2 linked regions of the Callithrix jacchus genome follow. The protein of the gene in region 1 interacts with the protein of each later gene in a pairwise test. Links are inferred from orthologs where the notes say so. Each region holds a gene or a part of one and is shown on either strand. Other genes may lie near its edges.

Evidence for each region.
Region 2: the proteins of ENKD1 (region 1) and PNMA2 interact in binary tests that used the Homo sapiens proteins (3 or more experiments, as listed by UniProt). The two-hybrid records come from large-scale screens. The link is inferred for Callithrix jacchus from reciprocal best matches to the Homo sapiens genes ENKD1 and PNMA2.

Annotation. Positions count from the first base shown.
Region 1 is NC_133521.1:25,174,466-25,178,722, reverse strand, and holds the start of ENKD1 (enkurin domain-containing protein 1), read left to right. Parts: upstream 1-1,376; 5' UTR 1,377-1,694; coding exon 1,695-1,779; intron 1,780-1,875; coding exon 1,876-2,070; intron 2,071-2,905; coding exon 2,906-3,078; intron 3,079-3,440; exon of another isoform or gene 3,441-3,671; coding exon of another isoform or gene 3,672-3,683; exon of another isoform or gene 3,684-4,054; coding exon 4,055-4,180; exon of another isoform or gene 4,181-4,257. Other genes in the region: C20H16orf86 (uncharacterized protein C16orf86 homolog), read right to left, coding at 48-268, 632-858, 1,071-1,172. UniProt on the Homo sapiens protein: Microtubule-binding protein which regulates microtubule organization and stability. Promotes the stability of astral microtubules and facilitates the proper orientation of the mitotic spindle.
Region 2 is NC_133514.1:15,061,104-15,065,585, forward strand, and holds the start of PNMA2 (paraneoplastic antigen Ma2), read left to right. Parts: upstream 1-1,603; 5' UTR 1,604-2,012; intron 2,013-2,469; exon of another isoform or gene 2,470-2,569; intron 2,570-4,482. Other genes in the region: DPYSL2 (dihydropyrimidinase-related protein 2), read right to left, coding at 784-1,137.

The sequences.
Region 1 (4,257 bases):
GCCCCACAGGCAGGGGGAGAAGGAACAGCTCAGGGACTGCCACTCACGCTCCAGCCCCAACATCTCTAAGGATGCAGACGCCGTGCTGGCCACAGAGTGGAGCACAGGAGCCCCCAGGCTCTTGCGCTTCTTGGCTTTTTTGTGCTGTTTGGCAGATGATGAGACCTCACTCTGGCTACCCTCTCGCTCCTCCTCCTGCAGCAGCAGCCTGGGTGGCAGCTCAGCTTCAGCCCTCAGATGGGCATGGTGGCCTGGGAGGCTGAGGGACCTGAGCCAGGGACAAGAAACTTGAGGAGCCAGGCTCCAGCCCTGGCCCAGGGAATAGCCCAGCCTGCCCACCACCCCAGGGCTCAATGCCTGCCTGGTTCATGGTCAGTGAGGCCCCAGGCCCAAGAGAGGCTTAGAGCCAGGTGAGCCCAGTCCCCTACAAACCCTGAAGCCCCCTCTCTCCTGCCGCTCCCTACACAGGGGTAGTAGGGGGAAGGTCTTCAGGAACAGAAAGAGAGGGGAGTGAGGGTAGTACTGGTGGACACAAGAATCACACTTGCAGGAGTGCAGGATTTAGGAATCCTACTGGAGTGTGAGCCCCATCCCTGGGCCTGCAGCTCCTTCCCTCCGAGAGCCCCCTCACTTGACAGGCTTCCTCTTTGGACCATGATGGGGCCTTACAGAGACCACGGGCCTGGGGCCTCTCTCCTCTAGTGCCCCAGCCTCCGGCTTGGGCCTCTCTTCCCCCAGTTTGGGTCCTTCCTCCTGGAGCTCCGGCTCTGAGGAGGCTCCTGCTGGGGGCTGGTCTTCACCATGGGTCCCACCGGCCTCATGGGCTGGCACCAGGAACTGGTCTCCCGTCACTGGACACTAGAGGTGACACACAGACCATCTGTCACCATGGCCGGGCAAAAGATATAGGGATCAGTCACTGAACACCTAACATTAGACACCGAAACAGCCTGTGTGCCTCTCCCCTCCTGGAGAGCCCAGCCAGCCAGTTAGGGAGTCGGGGCGCTCAGAGTTCCACCTCTCAGAGCTCTACGGCTCCGTGTTTGAATGCTAAACAGCCTGATGGTCACCTCAGAGGTCTGAGCGCGGCCAGGGTCCTCCGCGAGCAGTGCCTGCCCCACGACCGTCGCCTCCTGGAACCCCGGCCGCCTCTCCGCCCCTGCCGAGGCCATGGCTCCGCAGGCTCAGTGCATCCTCGTCCTGGGGCGGACCCGAGGGGTTGGATGGTGGCCCTGCGCGGACCCCGGAGACCGGCCAGCAAGCGAGCACAAAACTGGGAAGCGAGACCGGCGGCCACCCTCGGCCGAAACTACAAGCCCCAGGAGGCTTTGCGCCAGGGTCAGTGAGCCCTGACCCCGGGGACGGAAGCCACGGTTGCCCGGCAACAACAACTCCCGTCGAGTGGCTACAGCTGGCTGCAAAACCGCTCGAGTGATCCCCTGCCCGAGTGCCGCGGGGGGTGGGGCGCGAGCGGGACCGGGAAGTGGGCTGGGAGCAGAGGTCGTGGAGGCGACAAACGAGGCCGAGGTCGGGGCGGGGACTGGGAGGGTCCTGGGACGGGCGGCCCTCCTTGGTCCAGGTTAGGGTCAGGGTCCCGGACTAGGGAGGAGGCCTGGAGCTGGGAAGGGGGCCCAGGGAGGGAGGTATAGAGCTCGACAGGACTCGGAGCCCCTTTGAAGGGCGGCGCCGGCGGCATGTGCGAGGGCCCGTCCCGTATCTCCGGGCCCATCCCCCCAGACCCGACGCTTTGCCCTGACTACTACCGGCGGCCGGCCTCTGGTGAGTACGGGGGCGCGGCGGTGGCGAGAGGCTCGGGGGTCGGCCTCGGCTCCACCTCTGAGCCCCGCATTCCACCCGGCTCCACCCCACACGCAGCTCAAGGACGACTAGAGGGGAACGCGCTGAAGCTGGACTTGCTGACCTCGGACCGAGCCCTGGACGCCACCGCTCCCCGTGGGCCCTGCATCGGTCCCGGCGCCCGAGAGATCATGGAGCGCCGCCGGCGTGGCGTCGGCGACGTGCTGTTGCAACTTGAGGGCATCTCCCTAGGTCCTGGGGCCTCTCTCAAGAGTAAGTCCCAGGAAGAGAAGAAGGGGCAGAGAGACAGTTTGGGGTGGAAAGACATCAAAGCAGCTGCCCTTTCCCCCCTGACCTCGGCCCAGGCTTTGCTCTCTTGAGTCTCAGTTTCCCCAACCATAAAAAGGGGGAGAAATGTGCTACCTTCTCGGAGGGGAACTGAGTGAGGTAGTTCCCACAAAGTCCTAGCTCTGCTTCATGCATTTATTACCCGTCAAACTTGTGTGCCAGGCCATATAGGTGCTAGAACACAGGGTTGAAGACAAGCATGATCCATCGAATCAAGGTGGGAGACAAAGAACAGGAGATGAATGTCATGTATGAGATAATTAATAGTATACTTCACTGTAATAATGGAGAAAAACAGCTGGGAGCAGTGGCTCATGCCTGTAATCCCAGCACTTTGGGAGGCCGAGGCGGGCGGATCACTTGAGCCCAGGAGTTGGAGACCAGCCTGGCCAACATGGTGAAACCCCATCTCTGCAAAAAATACAAAAATTAGCCCGGTATGGTGGAGTATGTCTCTAATCCCAGCTATTCAGCAGGCTGAAGTGGGAGGATCACTTGAGCCAAGGAGGTTGAGACTGCAGTGAGCTGTGATCATGCCACTGTACTCCAGCCTGGGTGACAGAGTGAGACCCTGTCTCAATTAATGAGAAAAATCATCACGAGATACTAAATACGTGAGGAAGGGAACACGATGATGAGGCAGACGAGAGGTCGGGGGCTCTTTCTGTAAGGGGCGGAGGACAGGCCTGTGTGTGAACTGGTGGAAATTGGATTGTGTGGGCCATATGTAGGGCAGAGCCTTGCAGCATCTGTTCTCTAGGGAAGGACCCTAAAGACCATGAGAAGGAGAACCTGAGGCGGATCAGGGAGATTCAGAAGCGCTTCAGAGAACGGGAGCGCAGCCGGGAGCAGGGCCAGCCTAGGCCCCTGAAAGCTCTGTGGCGTTCGCCCAAGTACAACAAGGTGGAGTCCCGCGTCAAGGCCCAGCTGCAGGTACCTGCCTCAGGGCACCGGATGTATTAGTCATTTTGTTGGCCAACAGGCAACTAACTATATTCTGATCTGGGGAGGGAGGAAAGTCACAGAGGTAACAGAGGACTAAGAGACCCTGACTCTGCTGCAGGGCAGGACTGAGGGGGGCCTTCTCAAAGTCATGATGGGGGGAGCTGATCCTAAGGGGCAAGCAGCAGTTATGCAAGGGGACAGCAGTAGAGAACATTCCCAAAAGATGGAACCTCCCCAACCACAGGACACATAGCAGTGGAGATGCTAGGTACAGGACACATAGCAGTGGAGATGCTAGGTACAGTTCAAAGGCGTGAGGTTAGACCAAGAAGTCAGCCGGACCCACATCATCAAGGGCCACATTAACCACTTTCAGCCTTTATTTCTGAGGACAGTGGGAAGGGCAGAAGTATGGTGGGGGGTGCTCTGTCTTGGGTAGAGAGCAGCACCATCCCTCCATCCAAGGACTCAGCAGGAGGAGTAAGAGTGAGAGGAAAGGCAAGGTCACACGAATGTGTCAGGGCTGAAGCATCTGTGGCGCTCCCAGGGGGTGGGAGTGTATCCAGGAAGCAGATGGAAATTCAGGACTGGATCTGAGGAGTAAGACCTAGGAGTTACTGTCAGGTTGAGGACAACGAGACCAAGGAAGTGACCGCCTGGATTTGAGGACTTGGAGGCCAGCCATCAGGAACTTTGGGGGACTAGAGCCGGAAGCTTGGCTAGGAAGGAGGGGAGAGAGTGGTGGCTGGCCCAGTACTGAGGTAGAAGGAGAGGTGGTTACTGTTTTCTTAAAAATCTGATATCCACACGTTTATGTGCTGATGAGGACAAGTGTCCCTTGAGGAGGGAAGATGCCCCGAGGGACATGGATGCAGAGGTCAGAAGGGCCAAAAGAGCCAGAGTCCTGAGGTTTCAGCCCCAGACCTCAGCCTGCTTGCTCTCTCTGCTGTGCCCTGCCCTCCAGGAGCCTGGCCCTGCCTTTGGGACAGAGTCTGCCCACTTCCTGCGGGCACACTCCCGCTGTGGCCCTGGCCTCCCACCACCCCGTGTTTCCAGTCCCCAGCCAACCCCACCAGGTTCTGAAGCTAAGGTGAGTGGATGGTGGTTGGGCAGGGCTCCCACTGTGTGTCGAGGGGTTCAGGGATACCACATAATGCTCTCTGCCCC
Region 2 (4,482 bases), on another chromosome or scaffold:
TTTCGAATGCGAGGGTTTTTCCCCCTTTTCCTTGTCTTTTTGACCCTTTGAACATAGCCTACTCAGTTCCCCAGTTCCTAAAGCGCCTCCCACATAGCGGCTTGGGGAGCGCTGTGGGAAGCCCTGGCTGAGACACTTATTGGAACTTTGTTCCCCACATAGGCTATTTAGGAGCGTCTCGGTTTCCGCGGGCGACTCCAGGGCCTCCCTGGCTCTTCTCTGGCTGCCAGCAGGAGTCAAGGGCGGTCCGGGGGGCGCTGACCATGGTCCTGGCCTCGGAGCTCGGGACTCGAGCTCAGGAGGCGACGGCTGAGGCTGCAGAGAGCCGCCGTCGGAACCCTCGCCCCTCCCGACCACCCAGGAGCCGCGGGCCTTCACGCAAAGCCTCCCCCCCACGCTCCGAGCCGCCTCAAAAAAGGGTGGGGCACCCAGCCGCAGCTGCAATAGGAAGCCGCCCGGGAGGGTTTCAGAAGAATGGAACCGCAGCCAACCCTTCCCAGGCGACCACCGCCCGCCCCAGCCCGGGATCGGCCCATCCCCTCTGCCCACCCCCCACCTCCCAAGCTCAAGGAGACGCGGGCAGCCTTTGTGGGCGCACAGCCGCCCACCGCCCAGCCCGAGCCTCGCCGCGCCCTGCGCGGAGAAGGGGCGGAGGGTGCGCGTGCAGATGCGGGAGGCGAGGTCCAGGGCGGGGCATGAAGGCGGGCGCGCCGGGCTCAGGGGCGAGGGAGGGGCAATCCCCGCGCCCCGTCCTGCGTCTCCACCCCCCACCCCCACACCGACCTGGTCGTAGATGTTCTGCAGGGCTTCCTTGCCCGAGGCCCTCCGGATCTCCACCTTCCGGCCCGATTCAACAGATGGCTCCCCGCCGGCGCGCCGGCCCTGCCGCGAGTACGGCGGCTGTGGGTCCGGGCCCAAGTGGGCGACGTCCCGCTGCTGAGCTACCACCTGCCCCGAGCCCCGGCCCACCGACAGCGAGTCGAAGTCGATGGTCTTGTTCTCCGAGGACCCTTCCACCGGGCAGAACATGCCACAGAATTTCTGCCGGGGCTTGGGGCTGCCTGAGCCCAGGTTTTTAAAAAAGGCAGGGACCTCTTCGTCCTCTGCCGCCTTCCCAGACTGCTTTTTCTCGGCCATGGCTCGGGGGCTCGGAGAGGGTCCTCGCCGTCCGTCCGTCCGTCTGCCAGTCCCTAAGTCTCCCTCGCGGTGTGCACAAGCCCCCTAGCTGCTGCAGCGGCTGCCGCTCGCTGCCCACCGCAAGGTGCACAGAAAGGAAGGAGGGCTGGCGAGCCGGCGACCCACCCTCCCGGTCCCTCCCCCTGACCCCGCTTCTCCCCTCCCTGCCCACGCCCCCCGCGGCCACCGCGCGAGCTCGGGCGAGCGGCAAAGTTGGATCTGGGAGGGCGGCCGCTGCGGCTGCGGGAACGGAGAGGCTGCCAGTTCCCGGCAGCGCGGGGAGGAGGGAGGCGCGGGCGGGGCGCAGGCGGGGCGCGGCGCCAGGGAGGGGAGCGGCGCGCAGGGGAGGGCAGGAGGGGAGGGAAGGAGAGAGAGAGAGGGGAGGGCGGCACCGCCCCTAGCCCAGAGCTCCGGAAGTGAAGCGGCCAGACCACCGGCTAATGGATGCGGAGCGGAGGGCTAGCTGACTGCTCTCCGCGCCTGGGTAAGTATCGGGCAGGGCACGCGGGGTGAGGACCGGAGGGCGCAGCCCCCGGCCCCTGTGCCCCTCTCCCCCACCTGCCCGGCCCAGGCACCTCTACCTGTAGTGAGGCTGTGGTCGGCCGGGGTCGAGGGCGCACTGTGGCTACGGCTCCCTCCCCGTTACCCTGGGTGTGAGCTGATGGATGGGAAAAGGGGACCAGCCGGGCGCCAGCCTACTCCAGGTGTGGGAAGGGGGGTGGCACTGAAGATGAACAAGGGGTGACACAGGACGGGGGCAGCCGAGACGCTGGACACCCAAGCTTCAGTTTGCCCACTCGCCTTGGCAGGCTGCAGGGAGCAGAGAGACTAAAACCGTAAGATTCCCGCTTCGTGCATCCACTTTGGTGTGGTTGAGGTGGCGGGTGGTGGTTGGGGGGGGCACAACATGGCGGGAAGAAATGCAGAGTGGCGTAGCAGATGGGAGACGAGTATAGAGAGAGACGCAGGTCTGAGGTCTATAAGGGTGTAGCAAAGAGTGCGGTGCGGAATTCCAGCCCAGTGCCACGTCTTAGAAAGGCGGTGCAGACCCGCTCTATTGCCCAAGGGCGCCATGGACCCTTTCTGCACCACTGCGCCAAAAAGGACGCAGGAACGTGTCGCGATTTGGTTTCTTCTGCTTCCCCCCCAAAAAATAATAATAAAAAGGGGGGGGAGAAACAAATTGAAACCCCCTCCCCAAATCTCCAGCTGTTCCCGGCGCCCCAGCGCCCCGCCTGGCTCCCCCGCCCCTGTTGCGCACTGCGCCACAGACGCGGCGTTTCCCAGGTTACCAGATGCCACGTGTTTGGGAGTGAGCGCGGATGCGCATCTGGTGAAGAGTAGGAGGTAGGTTGTGAGTACCGTGAATTGTGTGGAGCCAAGCGGAGGAAAGGTACGTAGGAACTTGGTGTGCGTGTGCAGGTAGTGGAGCTACTGCCACCGAGGTGGTAAGGGGGGGGGGGCAATTGGATTTGCTGCGTAACGCGGTCAGTGCGGGTTCTTCATTGCTTAGTCCCATCTCCACGTCCTTTCTGCGTATCAGACCTTGCCTCTGCCGGATGACAGCCCCTCCTCTCTTTCCACAGTGGCAAGATCCTGCGGAAATGGTGCCCCTCCTTTGGCGGCCCGGGAGGGAGGTCTGGGCATGCTCAGTAACCTGGGTGGGTTTGGGCTGAGAGGCCGTTTCCCGCAAGGCCACTGCGTAGGGCCTTGTGACCAGGAATCCTGTCCCATTGTCAGCCCAGGAGTAAATGCGGTTACCAACCACTCCCACCGTTCAATTGTAGGGATAGTTTGGTGAATAGAGTTACATCTAGTGGACCACCAGTTGCAGTTTGAAGATCAGCCCACCATGATGGTAGAAAGTCGTCTCCAGATGAGAAAGGGAGACTGAGGAAGAAGAATATAGGAGTGGAGGGGCTGAGAGAACCCGACGGGCCAGATGTGCTTTGCATTTGAATAAAGCATTTGAAAAAAAAAAAAGCGATTCCAACTGAATTACATCATTTCCCACTCACAGCCCCCTGTAAGATTCATGCTTATCAGCACTGCTTTCCAGGTTGGGAAACAGATTTAGAGAGCTTGGTCCAAGGTTGGGTATCTACTTAAATGATTCAACAATTCCAGTGGGGTCTTCCACTTCAAAGTCTGGCTTCTTTTCCAGCTTGTCCTGTGACCCCCTTTATGTGAGAAAATACAAGGTTCTTCTTTTTTTTTTTTTTTTTTTTGAGACGGAGTTTCGCTCTTGTTACCTAGGCTGGAGTGCAATGGCGCGATCTCGGCTCACCGCAACCTCCGCCTCCTGGGTTCAGGCAATTTTCCTGCCTCAGCCTCCTGAGTAGCTGGGATTACAGGCACGCGCTACCATGCCCAGCTGATTTTTTGTATTTTTAGTAGAGACGGGGTTTCACCATGTTGACCAGGATGGTCTCAATCTCTGGACCTCGTGATCCACCCGCCTCTGCCTCCCAAAGTGGGATTACAGGCTTGAGCCACCGCGCCCGGCCCAAGGTTCTTCTATTTCTACCATATTTCCATCTGTGGCCCTATTGTATATCAAGGGTATTTCTTGCCATGTTTTTATTAGAAAGTCACACTACAGATCACATTAGGAGGAAGAGGCATGGGAAGATAGCCTAACTTCAGCGTAGAGGTCATTCTGTAGACCATAGAGATGCTTCTTTCTGGGCAGTGTCTTTTTACATTCTGTTTCCTCTAAATATCCCGGTGGGGGATATTTAGTGTTGTGTTCACAGATGTGAGCCACTGCACCTGGCCCTCCCCCCACCGGCCCCCATATTTTGTTGTGTTTTTGTTTTTGTTTTAGTTTTCAGGCAGAGTCTTCCACTGTGACCCAGGCTGGAATGCAGTGGTGCAAACGCAGCTTACTGTAGCCTTGACCTGCTGGACTCAAGCAATCATCCCTCCTCAGCCTCCCAAGTACTTGGGACTACACACGAGTACCACAAGCTCAGCTAATTTTTTTATATTTTTTTCTTTTTGTAGAGGCAGGGTCCTACTATGTTGTCCAGGCTGGTCTCAAACTCCTAGGCTCAAGTGATCCTCCCACCTTGGTCTTCCAAAGTGCTGTGTTCACAGATGTGAACCACTGCACCTGGCCTTCCCCTCACCGGCCCCCGTATTTTAGAAAGGAAAAGTCAGGCATAGAGAAGTCAGAAGTCTCAGGTCCCTGGGGCTCCTGGGCACAGAGGTGAAGTAGCATTTTGCCCTCCTGGCTCTCTGGCACCCTAGTGTCTTCAGCACCTGCCTAAAGATTCTAGAGATGTACGCACAGCGGGAGCAGCT